Linked DNA regions of Oryzias latipes. The protein of the gene in region 3 purifies or fractionates together with the protein of the main gene of each other region. This does not show direct contact. Links are inferred from orthologs where the notes say so. Each region holds a gene or a part of one and is shown on either strand. Other genes may lie near its edges.

What was found. Proteins that work in one complex are often made in the same cells at the same time.
Region 1: the proteins of zc3hc1 (region 3) and plk1 purify together in Homo sapiens (affinity purification with mass spectrometry; 3 studies listed by BioGRID and IntAct, counting the BioPlex papers as one, with this or other methods). This does not show direct contact. The link is inferred for Oryzias latipes from reciprocal best matches to the Homo sapiens genes ZC3HC1 and PLK1.
Region 2: the proteins of zc3hc1 (region 3) and skp1 purify together in Homo sapiens (affinity purification with western blotting; 9 studies listed by BioGRID and IntAct, with this or other methods). This does not show direct contact. The link is inferred for Oryzias latipes from reciprocal best matches to the Homo sapiens genes ZC3HC1 and SKP1.

What each region holds. Positions count from the first base shown.
Region 1 is NC_019859.2:22,725,420-22,731,240, forward strand, and holds the start of plk1 (serine/threonine-protein kinase PLK1), read right to left. Parts: upstream 3,749-5,821; 5' UTR 3,347-3,748; coding exon 2,984-3,346; intron 2,639-2,983; coding exon 2,470-2,638; intron 2,285-2,469; coding exon 2,140-2,284; intron 2,052-2,139; coding exon 1,958-2,051; intron 1,868-1,957; coding exon 1,642-1,867; intron 1,536-1,641; coding exon 1,493-1,535; intron 1,418-1,492; coding exon 1,320-1,417; intron 1,232-1,319; coding exon 1,154-1,231; intron 1,067-1,153; coding exon 912-1,066; intron 588-911; coding exon 405-587; intron 307-404; coding exon 112-306; 3' UTR 1-111. UniProt on the Homo sapiens protein: Serine/threonine-protein kinase that performs several important functions throughout M phase of the cell cycle, including the regulation of centrosome maturation and spindle assembly, the removal of cohesins from chromosome arms, the inactivation of anaphase-promoting complex/cyclosome (APC/C) inhibitors, and the regulation of mitotic exit and cytokinesis.
Region 2 is NC_019872.2:4,049,445-4,055,578, reverse strand, and holds the start of skp1 (S-phase kinase-associated protein 1), read right to left. Parts: upstream 3,749-6,134; 5' UTR 3,568-3,748; intron 3,028-3,567; 5' UTR 3,025-3,027; coding exon 2,928-3,024; intron 2,836-2,927; coding exon 2,762-2,835; intron 2,189-2,761; coding exon 2,045-2,188; intron 1-2,044. Other genes in the region: ppp2ca (serine/threonine-protein phosphatase 2A catalytic subunit alpha isoform), read right to left, coding at 4,872-4,944, 5,039-5,157, 5,333-5,494, 6,051-6,134. UniProt on the Homo sapiens protein: Essential component of the SCF (SKP1-CUL1-F-box protein) ubiquitin ligase complex, which mediates the ubiquitination of proteins involved in cell cycle progression, signal transduction and transcription.
Region 3 is NC_019881.2:14,718,242-14,724,076, reverse strand, and holds zc3hc1 (nuclear-interacting partner of ALK), read right to left. Parts: upstream 4,134-5,835; 5' UTR 4,108-4,133; coding exon 3,974-4,107; intron 3,545-3,973; coding exon 3,442-3,544; intron 3,255-3,441; coding exon 3,104-3,254; intron 3,017-3,103; coding exon 2,933-3,016; intron 2,814-2,932; coding exon 2,686-2,813; intron 2,499-2,685; coding exon 2,359-2,498; intron 2,268-2,358; coding exon 2,006-2,267; intron 1,719-2,005; coding exon 1,515-1,718; intron 1,360-1,514; coding exon 1,150-1,359; intron 1,056-1,149; coding exon 966-1,055; 3' UTR 256-965; downstream 1-255. Other genes in the region: klhdc10 (kelch domain-containing protein 10), read left to right, coding at 5,028-5,118. UniProt on the Homo sapiens protein: Required for proper positioning of a substantial amount of TPR at the nuclear basket (NB) through interaction with TPR.

The DNA.
Region 1 (5,821 bases), on a different chromosome or scaffold from region 3:
ATAATAAAAAACGAAGTCCGTGGTGAATTTCAAGGTCTTAAAATAAAGCTGTAAATAAAATGAACTGGTGCTGCTCTGAGGGAGGCAGATTTGACCGATCATGCAGGGGACCTAATGAGCAGCGGGCGTTGGTTTGGTTTCTAGCAGCTTCTCCACCATGAGTTTGGCGTAACGCATGCGACTGGCTAGTTCTTTGCTACAACCAAACTCCTCCAGCAGGGAGAGCTTGTAGGTGCGGAAGTCTCGCTTCTCGTTGATGTAGGTCACCGCGGCCATCAGTGGACACAGAATCAGCTTAGTGTGGTCCTGATGAACACAGATTACAACAATTACAGATTGCATTCAAGCAATTCATTAGGAAACGTCACTATTCGTGGTGCGAGCGATGGACTATGGCGTCTTACCTGGAAGAAGTTGATCTGAACCGTTCCATTGCTGAGGTGCAGGATGATGGCGCTCTTGGTTCGAAACCAGAGGCAGAGGTAAGGCAGCCGGGCCAGTTCATCACCTTCACGGCGCGCAATGTTGGCACCAGCTTTCAGGAGATGCTCACTCATGTAGTTGCGGAAATATTTCAGTAATGTAATCTGCAGGACAGGAAAAATACTCATGGTACTCTACTAGCAGAGGAAAAAATACAGAGCCCTGGACATTACATGACGTAACACCTTTTGCACACAAAATACAACTTTGTGGACAAAAACTAGCATTTTTATGTCCGCAATGTAGTATTTGTGTGCTCAAAATAATAATTTATGGCCACAAATTATTAATTTGAGGGAACAATTCATTTTTTGATGTCATATCCAGGGCTCTAAAAAAAACAATAACGTGAAAGAAGACAGGTTATTCTGTCTTCTTTCAGAATTACCTGAACAAAGCAACAAACAGAATTAGCTTCATCCACCAACCTTTTTGTTGAGAGAAGCAGGGAATGAGCGAACGCTTAAATAGGACTCAGCAGCCTTCTTGTCAATGTACTGCAGACTGTCGCCATCAGCATACATGATGAGTCGGGTGAAATCGTTGAATAGAACACCAACACTGTTGTCACAAAGCTGGTATCCTGCGAAAGCAATTTACAGCACACCCTTAATTCTCCATTAAAAGCAAGACAATAAAAGGCAAACCTGTCCTAAGATTTAGAATTTACCTAATCCATATTTGTCAGAGTAGTCGACCCATTTACTGATCCAAAAGATGGGAATACACGCAGGATCCTCTGCTTCCTCTGAAATCAAAGACAAGGGGTTTTCTGTAAGAAGGACTGACTAAAACTGCAGAAAGTTTAGGTAGTTCCTGCAGGCGGCTGCTCTCACCTTGCCGAATGACCGCCTTCTCTGAAGGCTTGGCAGAGATGATGCTGTTGAGCTGCTGCAGCATGTCCTTCAGGTAACATTCTTCTGGCTCCGCCTCTCTGCACACAAAATTCCCATTTATCATTTTTGATCAAACTACGACGCATGTTTTAGACCTTAGTGTGATGTCTCACAGTGGAGCAGGCTCGTCTTTCATGTCCACCTTCTCTGTGCCGGCTGAGAAAAAAAATATATAAAAAAAACCTCCATCAATATCACTGTTGATTAACTGCAGACTTTCATTATCAGTGCACCAGTTTTGGGCAATTGTTGGGTTTGTTACCTTTGTTGTTTATGGCAGTCAGGGGGCGCCTCTGGCTGAGCTCTGCAGCCATGGAGGGGGCAATGGAGAACCGCGGGGGCACAGTGAGACAAGTGGTGGGCAGCCGCAGGGGGACGTATCCCGATGTGAAGAACTCATCCGTCTGCAGGTCAGTGATGGTGGGCCTCTGGGCAGGATCGGCATGCAGCATCCTCTTGATGAGAGCCGAGGCTGACGGGTTGATTTGCTGCAGCATTCAAGTGAAGTGACGGTAAACTTAAGATTTTCTTTCACCAACTATTACGTACATTTAGGGATTAACGTCAGCTCTTCTCACCCAGGGGATGGTGTAATTGTTCTTCTTGATCCGGTTGTATGTGTCTTTCAGGCATGAGGTTTCAAACGGAGGCTTGCCGACTAACAAAGTGTACCTATGAGAGGATACAGGAAGGAAGTTGAGTATCCAGAATCCTGTGGAATGACACTCTTCCCCACTCCACTGTGGGTTTACACACTTACAATATGCACCCAAGTGACCAGACATCCACTTCATAGCTGTGGCCTTTCTTGCACAGCACTTCCGGAGCGATATAGTTGGGCGTTCCACACAAGGTCTTCTTCCGTTCACCATCAAACTCAATCTTTGTGGCCAAACCAAAGTCACCTAGCAAAAAAGGAAAGAAAGAAATGATCAGCGTTTAATCTGAGTAAAGGATATTAAGAAGCCAAATATGGGTGTTAACAAATTGGAGCTGGAAGTTCTCAACAAGGAAGTTATGGGAGCATATCAAGAACATGGGTGTGCCCGTTTCTTTGTCACTACACCGACAGGTTTCCTGCTCTCCATACCTATCTTGACTTCCATGTCGTCGTTGAGGAAGATGTTCCCCAGTTTCAGGTCTCTGTGGATGACCTTGTTGCTGTGCAGATAATGGACCCCTTTCAGCAGCTGGGTCATGTAGTAGCGAGCCTCCGGCTCCGTGACCGCCTTCCTGCGCTTGTGCAACTCCAACAGGGACTTGAAAAAGGACAACAGTTCTGGTGAGCGGCTGAACTCAGTGGAGGAAAATGGAGGCTGGGAGAGCATGAACAAGCTGGATGAAGTGAAGTGGCACCTCAAGAAGTGTTAAAAACAACACGTGGAACAACACAAAGGGGAAAAAGAATTTAGATATCTCTATAGTTTTAAATTACAAAAAGTTACTGGTTTAGGATAAGTAACAGTGATTTAAAGCAGTGATCAGGGGATTTGAGTCTCCCAGCACTATGCCAAAGGAGGGGGGGGGGGGGGGGTAACGGAAGAGGCCACATTGTTAACCGTTGGCCTTCATGTATTTTCATTTAGAGTTCCCAAAATCCTCACCCTTCTCCTGCAGATCTCCAGGACCACATAGACAAAGTCGTCGTCCTCAAAGAAGCCGTGGAAGCCCACGATGTTAGCATGATTGAGGCTCTTGTGAATGGAGATTTCCGAGCTCATCTTCTCCCTTTGGTGCTGCTTCAGGATCAACGACTTGGGCACTATTTTGCCAGCGAAAACCTGCTTGGTCTCCATGTCTGTAATTTCGAAGCATTTGGCGAAGCCCCCCTTGCCGAGGAACCTGCCCTTGGAGTATCTCCTCAGGGTGCGGGGATCCACCAAAACCTCTGGGATTTCTTTCAGAGGAGCCGATTTTGGGTCGACGTGTCCGGACGGCTGCGCCGGCTTTGCGATAGCAGCACTCATGGTGTACTTTAAAAGTGCTCTTTCCGCGTTAATAAAACTCCAAAGAAGTCGAAACGCAAAAGTTATTAAACAAGGGCTAAAGTGTTGTTTAACCCTCCAACTCAACCGACGTTAGTTTAGCCTTCGAAGCTAACTTTTTCTACGCCTCAATTTACAGCAAATACTAACAAACGATCTAAACCGCAAACGTTGACTAACATTTAAAGGCCGACAGGTCCCAAGATTAAATAAATTAATTAAAAAAAAAACCGGAGGCAGAATTCTTGCGCAGACTTCCCCGGCAGCGGTTGCCTTGTCCCGTTCTGCCTTTTCGATAACAAGTGTCTCGTACAAATTTAAAATGCTGGCTCGGTCGTTTTGGCGATCGTTGATTGGTCTGCTAGATTTGAATTCCACAGCGTCACAGCAAAGCATCTTGGGAACATGTGTACAAAAATAGCCAATCAGGAGTAGAGTAGAAGGCCTCCAACAATCTGATTGGCTGAAAGGCTGTTTTTGTTTCCTCGAGAAAGACGGATGGGAAATGTAGTCGGGAAAAGGATTTAATTTCGAAAGTGTTTTGTTATTAGCGTTATCCGAATTATGGCCACTCCTGATCCAATATCGATCATTTAGGTTCATGTTATTAGTTGAACACTAATATTACATGAATGCAGAGGATCATATGAAGTTTATTTAATCTTTGTTAGACTATGAGTTTTTTATGAATTTGTCATTTTCACTTTTTGGATGGATTTTTATTGACAGACATTGTTGGTTCAGGTTATACACTTTTATTTTTATTGATTGCCATGCTGACTGTGTACACTCATCTTGCGCCACACTTCCTTGAAAAACTTTCAACTTTTCATAAATTGAGAAACATGTGAGTGTTTGCTTTCTTCTCATGTTTTCTTTTAATTTCTACTCTGTTAGAACAACCATTAAATACTGTTTCAAACCAAATTCTCAGACAGTGCTATCGGCATTCTAAGTGTATCATTGTAATCATTGAAAAGCCACAAATGCCCTCTGTAGATACCAAAAGGAGTTCATTCAGTAATTGCAGTGGTTGAATAATTTTCAGGTCTAGAAATGTCCACTATGGGGACAAGTTTTTATTGCCGGTAGTGAGGAGGATATTTTTCACTCTAGATTGGTTGAAATTCAAAAAGGATTTTGAGCAAAAAAGCCTCAGGGTTTAACTTGAAAGATTATTTATGCTGGAAAGCATAAAATGGTGAGAAGCAGTAAAATATAGTGTAACAAAAGCAATATGAGAAAGTAAACCTGCAGTAATGGTTTAATCTGTCTTGCCACACTAAAAAAAAGTCACATCGTTTTTGTGATACCAAGATTATTGTTTATTTGACAAGATGTTAACATGATGAAATTAAGGACTTTCACTTTCTGATCATGATGGTTAACCTGTTGATGCCTATACTTAAATAATAACTCCAGAATACATGAAGATTCCCAATTTTTTACATTTGGATATTGACTGTACTGTTTGGTTTCAACATGCCAAGCTAAAAAAAAAAAAAAAAGTTGTTTTTCCCCTAAGGTTTTCATTTCTTTTTTTCTTTATCCACCACTGCATGGTAGTTGGGGTAACCAGTTAATAGATTGCTGGTTGCTGGCTGATCAACATTTTGTGGTAAATTAATTTGGGTTAAGAGTGTAAAGGGGGAATGGTTATGGGACACTAACTCAAAACACAGCTTGTTGAGGGGATGCTTACCTGAAGACTGCGGGGACTTGCTTGCACCGGTGCATCCTAAGGCTACAAACACACCGTTTATAAACCATCAGAGGTTGTAAAGGAATACAGTTCAGTAGTTTGGAGGTAGCATTACTTATTCAAGAGCCACATGTTTTTATTTGAGCTCTGCCTGTGGGCTAGAATAATATTTCAAACTTCTCCAAAGCTTCTAACTAAAGTTTTCCTTTTTTTATCTTTTGGACAAAAGCTTTTGTGCCTTGTAATTCATGTACTTGTCTTTGTTGTAGCCGTTTATAAATGTTGTAATTTCCATCTCCACCCCTACATGCTGCTGCACTCTGATTCCTTGCTGTGTGTTTACTTTTCTTGCAGATTTGACTTGACTTGAGCTAAAGATGTTACATGCAACAAAAACACAAACACACTGCCAAACAAGGACAGTTTTATTTGATTAAGGTGAGCACACAGGAATGCTTGGGTTCACTCAGAGAATATCACATATCAGTGTCCATGTTCAGGCTTTTATTTACTCAATTTCCTCTAGTTGCAGTGCTCAAAAAATCCATACTGGACATTTATGACGGTTTGAATTGTGCAAGGTTATTGGGGATATTGATTTGTTTCTATCTGGCAGATCTCTGAACATGCACTCTCCTCCAGCATCCTTTTTGCTTTGGGTTACCATGGCAACACGCATTTGTACAGACCAAGACAGGTTTCTGTGTGCTAATATCAGGACATGCTGAGTTTAGCACATGAAATAACCCATTTAA
Region 2 (6,134 bases), on a different chromosome or scaffold from region 3:
ATTTCCTACATTCTCACAGTCAGGCTGCACTGTAAGGAGTGAGCATTTATCACTTGAACATTACTGACATCTTGCGCAGAGATCAGGGTTAGGAGGGGCTGGAAAAATCTGTATGACACGCCTGCACCCCACTTCATCCATATGCATTTTTAAGCCTTCGCTACAATTTTTCACCCGCAGGATGTCTACTAAAAAAGAAAAAAAAATGGGCATGAACATTTTCACCCAGTGGTCTAAGACCTTAAAATTTCTTGCGGGCCACCTCCCTATTATTTTGCCCACAGACAGCCTAAACCCACCCATAAGGACAGTTGTCAGTAAAGCGTTACTCTCAAGTTAAGAAAAATACTTTTACTAAATCTTTTAGAAATTACACTCCAAAAAAGAAGAAGATTTTCTTTCCCCCTTTTGTAAAACAGAAGACTTTGTTTTTAATCAATACCATGGGGCTGATTTAAACAGCCCCATCTGCCCCAAGAGTTGCTCTCTGTCCTGAGCAGTGCTCACCTCAAAACCCAAAACTCAGATGGTTCTTTCAACTTCAATCCAACATTTGAGTTAAATGTAGCAACCATTTCTGCTTGTAAACAAAATAAGCGTGTGTGTGTGTGTGTGGGGGGGGGGGGGTTTCTGGAGTCACTCGTGTCTCACTTCCTGGAATGACTGGATCTTCCAGTAACCGTTTCCCAATCTCTCCTGGGTTCTGCTCGGGTTACCTCTCACATCACGTCACATGGCTGGTTTGTGAGAACCACTACCGGCTCTCTGACCGCTGACGACCCAACGGCATTAAAAAAACATCTTCCAGCTGTTGCCTGGCAACAAATGTTTAAATCATTTGTTACCCAAACAAAAGAGTCAGTTATAAAAAAACTATTACAAATAACCTTAAAAAATAAATCTAACAAAAAAGAAAGTCAACTGCAAAACTGAGAAAACTTCTATAAATATAAGTGGCTGTGTTGATAAAATACTTCACTTTTGGTTTGATTTACTATTTTTAATGTTAACCATTTCAGTGATGCAGCCTCACAATTTACTGAGAAGACCAAGAAGACAGCAAAAACAAAACCATCCTTGCTGCTTAACAGTGCTGGAAGGTATAGCTAGACTTTGGTCTTAGACATAATGATCCCTGGTGTCTGCCATCACTAGTAGTAGTCTTATTTAAAACACTAAGGTTTGGTACCCAGGTGTATTTAAATGTATTACCAAAAAACAGAAGTATTTTTCCATTCTGTTATTCTGACACTTTTGTCACACATGGAAGGAAAACACTTTTCTCCTTTAATCATGTAAGTCCCAGAACTCTTTCATCCAGCAAGTGCAGCAGTCAACAAGTGCTAACAGGGCATTTTAGTGGTACTTTTTGTTTAACGATTAGACCAAACAGAATTTATCATTTTAACTAGGCGTGTTTTTAAATTAATAAACTATGGCTGGGTTGATTATATCGATTCGTTGATCCAAGCCTAATGGATCAATAATCGATCCATTAAATTAGAGATCAATCTTTCATGCCTTTCCTTTACCGGTGACCTAACCCATAACAGCAGTAAACCCAAAGTCTGCTAGTTTGATGCTAACATCTAACAGAATTTCCCGTAGGACCACTTATGCTAACGCTTGTTCGACTGAAACTTGCATTACTGCCTAAATGAACAGCTTTATACACTCACAGGAAGGAAGGAAATGTCCAAAGTCTTCTAAGGAAACATTTTTTTCAAAGTAACTCTTTGCTCAATCTTCTGGAATATGGTGTAAGGCTCTAGCGTGAGCTCCACCTAGTGGACAAACAGAAACACCATGCAGGAGAGGCAGAAAATAATGATCTGCACATTTTTGTTGGAGCTTCTCCATTTGAGAAACCATGGAACACTGTGTGGTTTTAACGGCCTCATTGGTTTATTATTTACCTACCACATTTTACAGTATGTAAACTGTAATAGAATCAAATAGAATCTGGACATTATTGGTGACACCCAGCCCTAAAATAAACTATGTCAAAACGACGGTTACTGTGCTAAATCTGAAATGTACTGACCAGAATGAGCTCAAACAAGGTGCCCTGGTCCACTTTAAGAAACTCCTGGTCCCACACTGGGATATCATCTGTCCTCTTCTCTTTGTTCTCGTCATCTTCAGGAGGAGGGGGGTCATCTTTGTGATGGGTGCACCACTGAATCACCTAATAATGACACAGTCAGATTAACTAGCATCCATTTATTTCACATTTATTCAACATTTTAAAAAATTGGTTTTTTTAAGGGCACTGTAGCCGGCTGAAAAACTGTACAGATATTGAAATCTTTTTTAAATATTTCCTTATTTTCAAAAGAACATCTCAAAAGTGTTGTTTTTTTTCTACTTAATGCTTTTTTTCTAAATAATTTTCAATTAAATGTGAGAAAAGGTAAAAAGAAGCTAATATAAAAGGTGAAAAAAGGAAACTGAGGTCTGGAACAGTGAGATTCCTTTCACCATTTAAACTGACTAATCACATTTGTGAGTTCATAAAACTGAACAGCTAAGTCAATTAAGACCCATTCAAAGATAAGTTGTTAAAAGGTCAAACTTCTCAGAATTTGCAGCAGGTTACTTTAAATTTCATTTCATTCATAATTTATTTGACAAACCTCAAATGTATTTAAAACGCAAGCACTTAACTCAGTGTTTACAATGCTAGAATTATTCAATCACCACAGGTTAATTATAATTAAATGATCCAAGAGCATTACAAATTAAATCCTTGCTTCTGTACCTTTTTGAGAATGGCGGCATTTACATTAGGCAGGGGAACTGGGTCGTCGTCTCCTTCATCGTCCATCCCCAAATCTGTCCAAATGAATTTAAAAATGAGTCAAAACTAAAGCTGGCAGCAGACTTACTGGTTTAATTTAAACTGTGCAAATTCCACTGTGTCTTACCTTCTAACATGGTCTTGATGGTGACTGACTGTTTAGCTATCTCAACGTCCACCTCAAAGATTTCTCCATCAGAGCTCTGCAGCTTTATCGTGGGCATAATCTGAAGAAAAAAAACAAACAAGTAATGTATTTTAACACCGACAGATATAACTTCAGGTTAGCGAGTAATGACGTCCAACATGCCAAGCAGATGCTACACACAGGTTTACGTAGTCCTTATCATTTTAAAGTTTTCACCCAAAAACAATGTAAAATGTATTTTTGTTGCATTGACTGCTTGGGGTTAGCATGTAAATACAAGAGCTAGCTAAAGCTAACATTTACGTGAACCGGGAACGCGTTCAAATTTGTCATCTTAGTTGTCGTGGTTCTATTTTAAATGACGTTATTTCTACTACAAAGGTTAAAGATTAAATGTTAATCACGAAAAAAATGATATGACGACGTTAACAGTTAAGCTACTTCGGTGCTACTTCACAATGCAGGCAGCTTAGCTAAACGCTACATAGCTACAGACAGTTAGCAGCTACATCGAGGCGCTTCAAATGACTATGTAAATCACACGCACGCAACCGTTTGACCTCAAATCTCACGCGTAACTCGTGTAAAAAGATATATTCGCTGTAAAACAGATACCTACTGTGATTTTTGACGGAAATTCAGAGGCGAAATTCCCCTGTAGTTAGCAGAACGGGCCTTACAGACGCGTAACTCCCGAGAGCAGTTGGAAGTATCTGGATGGCAGGAAGGTGGGGGAGTCTTCTGCCGCCTACAGGCGGAAGGCCGTCATGACAAGAGAGCAAAGGGAGGGACTGCCGCTCTGCCGGTTTAGCCTGTGGTAGTGCGATTATTATTTAATGCTTTTGTTTAATATAACAGCATAGATTATTATATTAAAATAAATGTTAGTAAAATTATTTAATGTTAAAAAAATAAAACAAATCAGTTTGACTCCAGGTTTTCTTTTTTATCAAAATTTTTGTACTTAAATCTTCTTTTAGATTACTACTTACTAGTATAAAGATTTTAAAATGCGACTTAATCAGAAATAATAGTGTAAAAATATGCTATTCATGCAAACCTTTACAAGTCTGACCTATATTTTTGTTGCGTGTATTAGCACCTTTTGACCGCATGGTGGCGCCTGTTCCTTTCGACGTGTCCATTCGAACAGTTTCCTAAGCCAATTATATGACCCACTTTATTTCATTTCATTTATTTTTGCAATATAATAAACGCAAATCAATTTAACTTTACTCCACCCCAAGTAATTGCCACCTTTTTAATATTTTCAGCAGCATAAAATAAACAAAAACATCAATGTCACCTTAATCTTTATTGTTGAAATTTCCTATTACATAATATAGAATTCATGAATGAATGAAATTGAACATCCAGCATCTTATAAACCAAACTGCATTTATCAGTCTAAAAAGTTAGGACAACAAAGCCTTATGTATAGCTTGATTTAGGGGAATTTTATTGATTTGCAATATTTAAAAAAACATAACAGTGTGAATCTTTCATGTTTTTTTTATAACTTACATTTCTTTAAATTTACAAAAGTGCAAACAGAACGTACGCATTTTTCCTTAATATAAGCCAAAGCTGGTGTGACTCAAAGTGCCAAAAATGAAATCTTGGAGATTGGTGCCATTAGTCCAGCTACGTGCAAACAAAAGAAGGAATTTACACTTGACTTAAAGAGGAAAGGGGATATTTAGTACAGTCGTCAGCACTGATTATTAAAATGGTAATGGAACACACACCCTTTGGTCCACCCACAGACACAAAAATGCTTAAATAGGTCTAAGTGTGGATATACAATGTGCACTGCTGTGATGCTCCGAGCGGTGTCCCAGGATCCCATTCCACATTTGAGTTATTTTCAGCCGTATATGCCATTCTAGGCCTGGACTGTACGCATGGGTCTAATGTTAGAGTTTACAGGAAGTAGTCCGGGGTGCGGCGGGTTACATGGGGTTCCCCTCTGCGAGGCGCAGGATCAAACTGCAAGCTGCAGGACGAAAGGAAAAGTATTTTAAGACGTGCAAAAGTTACAATTCCCACCTTAAACTATTGCATCTGATGTTTTTAATTTATGTACTTACAAGGAATATTTGAGGGTGTCATCTAGTTCCATAATAGCTGCCTGGTTGCCACAGCGATAACAGTAGTTAGGAGCGCTGAATATCGTCACCACGTTCCTCTCATGGCACCAGTTGTAACCCTGAAGAGAGCAGATGTGTTATTTACAGGAAGAAAATGATCCAAAACAAACTAACACAAGTTCTACTGTTTGTCTTAATAAGCTCAAAATAGTAAACATTTTCCAGATGAAAAGTAAAAAAAAAAAAAAAAAAGTCAACGTTAGGTCAAAGTTAGGTTTTTTGAACTATGCACACCTCCATGACCAGCTGGTGGGCTCGAGAGACCAGTGTGAGGCGGTTGGCGTGGTTGAAGGTCTCAGATATGTCCTGACCAAAAGTGTAGCCTGCTCCTCGAGGAGAGATGCCCCAGCCGCCGCGGTCGTCAGGGTCCGACCACAGCAGGTCGCACATGGGACCCTGGAAACAGAGATCACAGGTTAGAACTGGAACAGGCCAGCTCCCGATTCTGACCGCAAACACATTCAACAGGCTATTTATCCTGGTGGCGTTTTATTTGTAGTTAAAAACTAAACACAGTAGGTGTAAAAACCACTCTGATTATTTTTTGGATCTATTTTAAAAGATTTCCCAGTGGTCTTTTCATTATGATTATGCCGTTTTTAGCCTAAATTTTAAAAAGCTGTGTTTTTTTTTTAAGGACAGTTTCTGCAGAGCAGCTGTAGTCCTTTATCGAGCCGTAAAGTTTTGAGCCAGACGCCAACTCAGACAAGGAAAACAAAGACGTACATGGATCTAGTCGTCTACAAGTGTTGGAGCGGAGCGGAGCGGAGAGCTTGTGGCCCCGCCCACAAATAGGCTCCTTTTCAAATGGCCTTTTTTCATCTGCTCCTGATTCACAATGATTTTAATAAAGAAATATTCAGAAATGCTATTTTATTCTTAATTCTCTCGATAAATGTCCTCCATTATCAGAAAAAATGCCACCAGCAGATGTTTAGGTTTAGACTTTTACCTCATGTGGCACCTCCTGCAAACGGTCCAAAGCCCTGATGTGATCCAATGTATCTATGGACGGGGACAGGCCTCCATGAAGGCA
Region 3 (5,835 bases):
TCAAAAAGCCAAATTTTTTTCACAGCAGAGTTTGGGTCCAAACAAATTACATCAACTTATTCTGGCAATTTTTTATTTTTCAAAAATTATCTGCCAAGTGTCGACATAACTCTTAGTCCAAAATTCCAGATCATAAATTATTGGTAATATAATGCCTCACCGTGCATAATAGTATGCTGAAATAGAAATTTTTGGCAAATGAAATTGGAGTGTACAGGGGTTAAAATAAAAGAAAATATACTTTCTTGTGTTTATAAAGTGAGATGTCAAGTTTAATATTTTCCAAGTCATTGTCATTAAATGCAAACCAACATTTCCTTTCTTTATTTGAGTTAAAATAAAGTAATCCCAGGCAGAAAGGTAAAAACAGTTTTATGGAGAGCATTTCACACAGAATCCAACAGTCAAAAACATTTCCTTTTTGTGGCATTTGGTTCTACCTGCAGACAACAATTAAAAACAACAAAGAAAGCTTGCATCTATGTGACCTTTAAGAAAATATTTTGCACACAAATAAACTTCCCAGGTGTTTTTTCTCTCCAAACCTTGGGAGAAAAGTTTTGTTCTATGACAACCATCTGAAGACAGAAAAGAGGTAAATATTGCCTTTCCAGTGTAGAGCCACATGGCTCTTCTTCATCCCACATCTTTTTTTTCCCCCCATCTTCTCTGAAATTCATTTTGTTTTTAAAACAAAGTACCAATGATGAAATGGAAAATACTATACTAGAGATGATGAAATGTTGCAGCCCTAAGACCCAAACATTCCAAAACAAACAGGGATCCTTCACATTGTTGAGAATTCACAGAGAAGATATTTGTTATTTTCCATCAAGAGGGACTTTGACTGTAAACATAACTTCATGTAAAGACGTAGGAGATTTGACTCGTGGTATTTGCTCAGATGGAGTATGTACCAAATATTTAATGGAGATCAGTTAATCAGTTCAGTGTGGCAATGGAGTTTATATTTTAACACTCTCTGAAGGTGGAGAGGAAGATACTTGCCACTGCCGGAATATTGCAAACACTCTCTTAGACTTGTCACGGGGACCCTATTTGGAGAAGAACATTTGAAATAGTAATATGAACAAGAGTTCTATATTTATAGAATAAGTATACAAGAAAATACCAAGACTGCCAACTTACCTGCTCTGGACTACCTTTCAGTGTGCTGGAGTTCTTTGAAGGCATGAAAAGGTCAAGGGCAGCTTTCCAGCCTTGTTGATTCAACGCTACTCCTCCATCCAAAACAGAGGCATGATCTGGATCCACGTTCTCCTGTCCTGCAGAGATCCAAGGACACCAGTCCCTGTGCTGAGAAAGAGGGTCAAATGTGCCCTTATGCAGAGGCCCATCCTGAAAGAGAGAAATGTCACATGTTAAAACTCATCATTTAAAGTAAACATCTTGAAATTCAAAAATCTTACAAATGCTGATTCACCATAGAAAAAGACTATGAAGCATCCAAATCAAAAGCAAGACAGGAACTAAGAAGTAATGATTGTTCTTACAGGACCACCAACTGTTGAGAAGCACAAGCGTTTGGGAGGATGGAGGCTGGTGGAGCCGTCGGCCCCCGAATTATCTCCATGTCCTCGACTTCGAGTTGCAGGCCTCTTGCCCCTCGTCAGAGGACTTAGCAAGTCATCACTGGGGCTGGGTGAGTCTCTGCTTTTGGCTCGTAATGCAGTGGGGGAGGAGGAGGTCCCCTCAACCTGCAACAGAAAACAAAAATATGAAAAAGTCTGATAAAAAGGAGTTGAAGGATCAAAAGGGTTTTGGTATGGTGGGAGGCAGTTCATTGTGGCTCTTTACATTATATCCTCTAATAAACTAGAGATGACAATGAGGGTAGAATTTCTGTAATCACTTCCTACACCATCAACAGTGAGTTTGTGAAAATCCTTCTCCAAACGGGAGAAGAGGGTCATGTCTACTGAAGCAAATGTGGCATAGAAAAGCCTCAACCTTACCACAGAGCAACAAACACAAGAATGCTTGCCTGGTCGGAGCGTATGGAGTCCTGGCTCCTCAGCTTCATGCGGCATGGAGATGCCGCATGAGTGGACGAGGCAGGGTCTGCCTGGCTGTCGCTGCAGCCCCCTAAGACAGAACCTGTTCCATGAGCAGAGGGTCCTGCAGAGCTTGGTACCGTCTCTGCCTCACCTCCGATTTCTTCCATCTGGTGGAAATTCCACAAACCCACCTTCCGCATGCAATAGGAGCAGGTCAGGATTGGCAGGTTCATGGCACGTAAAGCTGGACTAAGATGAAAGAAATTTAATTTTGGACCCAAATTCCACCAAATAACCTTGTGTTTTAGAAATGCACCTTTTTTACTGAAACAACTCTCACCTTGCTGCCCAACCACAAAGAGAAACGACGCATGCAGCCACCTGAACAGACAATGGTTCAGAGCATGGACTGCATCCCTTTATTTTTAGCTCTTCCTCAATCAGTTGCAGTATATTACTGATGACATCCTCTGTCAAAGACTGGGGGGAAAAAAGACCACAAATAATAGCTGTTATTGTCTTGTTAAAAATAGTTCATATGTTAATAAAGCAATTTCTTTAATGAACCCTTAATGATATCACATTCCCTTGATAATAATTGATGTTTTTATCTAAGTCCTTCTGAAATTTAAGCTGGCACAAGTGTTCTTTAAATAAAGCCCTTTACCATAGACTTCAGCTGCTCTGGCCTCATGGCTGGCAGCTGCTGAGCAAGGAGACAGGCACTCTGGAAACGTTCCAAAAAGGCAGCAAGCAGCGTTGACGGTTCAGAGGCTGGAACAAGCCAGAATCTCTCTGGATAAACAGAAATACTTATATTTATTACGACCATCATGCTGATGGTTAATAAACAGACGGAGTAGTGGATTGTATGTTTGTTGTAAGTTTGCTCCAGACAAAATGGTTGCTTCTACCTGGACATGGAAAGTCAGGCCAAGGACAAAACTTCTCATGCTGAGTCTGTAGTTGTCTCAATATCTCTGCAATGCGGCTTTCATCTATTTAAAAGAACAGAACAGCTTGACATCTCATTTTGGCAGGCCAGCACCATTACCGTCGCCATATTGCTTCAAGTTTGAGCTTACATTTCTTAAAGTCTAACGTTGGTTGTAGTGATGCACAAAGGAAAGCCTGGCAGCTGGAGCACTTCAGCATGTCACAACCAACATTGATCCAACCATATCTGGCACACATCAGAGGAGAAAGTGCACGGGGTTTGCCTGCCCATCTCAAACAGTGACATATTAAGGAAAAGAGGACCCTAAATAATAGGCAGCTTGTGTTAGCAATTACAAATGTGTATTTTGATTATGTTTAAAAAACGGTGCATTTTAACAAATCACATGGAAGCAATGTATATATGTATTTAAAACAAAAAATAAACGTTGTCCATTAATAAATATATAATATGAAGGAAGGATATAGAATAGGATTCCACTCTTGAGAAAAATGCTTCTTTGTTTGTTGCTTCACACGGTGTTTGAGTGTTGTCTTTAACTTCCAGAACTTTTAAGTCCCCTTGTTCACTGAAACAAGACATAAAACATAAGTCCTTTTTACAAAACACAAAATATCCAATGGACCATTTTGTACACAATGTTTTCTGATCAATTTGCTAGACGGAAATAGTTGCTGTGATTCTTGTGGTTATTTTTAGCATACATACATAACTGCAAACTAACTGCTGGACCCCGGCTAACAACAGCTGCAGCATAAGGCTATAAAAACACATTTTTGAATAATTTATTTAATCCACATCATTGCAACCGTATGAGTACAGAAACTCGGGCTCGTTTGTCAAACTCTCAGCTCTGTGCAGACTTGAAAAACCCCTCCAGCAAAACTATGAATACGTTCGAGGTGAGATGCTAAGCTAAGACGTGGCTAACCCAGTCAGCTACCGTCAACTTAGATTTTTCCAAAAAAAAAAATAAACTGGTAGTTTAAAACGCCACCTGTTGGACCCAATCTCCGGTAATGATACTCCTTCGCTGAGGAGTTCACGAACTTTTTCCGGAGATGCAAAAGAAGACTTTAGGTGGTTAGAATTGCCGAGACGGTCCCCGCGACTGCCGCCGATATTCGCCATGGTCGGCTCTGACAAAAATCCCCAGAGAAACACATCCCGGAAAAAAGTTGTTCCGCTTCACCAGAGCCACAAACGCAGTAAACAAACAGGACATTTTTGGTGTAAAATCTTTGTCATATGCAGTTGACCGCTAGATATTTCAACGACGTATAAATGATATTATACAGGTACGTTTTATGTGGATGATTTTTGTAGAACATAGATCACATTGTCAGCAAAAGCTACCAGAACTTTCACAATACGCTAAAATTGTGACTCACTGTTGAACAAAACCAAAATAAAACTAATTTAAATTTAGATCTAATTTAAATGTAACGACGTTTGAGTATTAAAATTTAAATTTAGTGTTTACATTTAAAGACTTAGTGTGAGTGTTTGCAATTTAAAGTGTGAGTGTTTAAATTCAAACACTATATATGTTTACATTTATGTATGAATTTATTAAAATAATATATGCTAAATAAATTAAATGTTTTTATTCAGTAAAAACATTAAATTATTTCTAATTTGATTAATTTACTACAAATTAATTTAATAATTGTATTTGCATTTTTATATTTCTTCATTTTTTATACATATTTTTAAATTATAAGTTTACGTCTACATTCAATAAAATAAAATAAAATAAAATAAAATAAAATAAAATAAAATAAAATAAAATAAAATAAAATAAAATAAAATAAAATAAAATAAAATAAAATAAAATAAAATAAAATATGGCGGCAGTTCCGTTTTCCTGAAGACGCAACGTCCTGGTAACAAGCTCAGCGATTGGTCAAGTGTGTCACTGCCGGGGTGGAAAGAAAAACAGTGAATGGCTTCAAACCTGCCTGAGATGTGAAATGTTTCAGCAGCGTTTTGGCAGACGTGTTTTATATTCGACGTGACATCGAAGAGGACAGGGTTGTGAAGGGGACACGATGTCGGACGCCGAAAGGTTTCACTGTTCAGATCAGCTGAATAAATTCGAGAGACTGATTGGCAGGCCGCCGCACGAAGGGCTGCTAGCAGGTCGGTTCATAACATTAGCAACGATGCTATCAACCCTCTGTTTTGGTTTTTTCTTCGCACTTTTAAACCATTGTTCCGTAAGGAACATTACGTGTATATAATAATGGGTGTTTAATGTATTTTTGTAATTAAATTTATCTAATATATCTCATTTAATTTTATTTTTTTAATGTAATGTATACATTATGTATCTGTATTTAATGCCTTTTTTCCCACTTGTTTTCTTCGATAAAAAGGATGGATTTCTCCATAATGTAAACATTCAGATTTTAAATTGACACATTTACTTTTTAGCTCTATTCTAAAATCTAAGATTTGTTTGTAAAAATCCAACCAAGAAAAAATAAATCAGTTTAAAATTGCATTTATATTCCACTTCTATGCTATTTCTACTTATTCTCCATTGGCATATTCTTTTTATATGTTTTCATCACTATTAATATATGGATTGATTGACACATTGAACTAGAGTCATAGATAAGCTTGTGAATAAGTTTAAAAACAATAAACAGAGAAGGGGTGTATTTGTTTTATCTGATATTACTGGGATTCATTCAAGTTGGAAACATTTATTTGTATTTTATACTTTTGTAAATTGAAATTACATTAGCAGCACTTTTTTAAAGCTTTAAATAGTACTGCAAATATAATAAAGTGCAGTGGTTATAGCTGTTATTCTCAGAAATATGCATTAACTTCAGCTTCACTGAAGAGTTT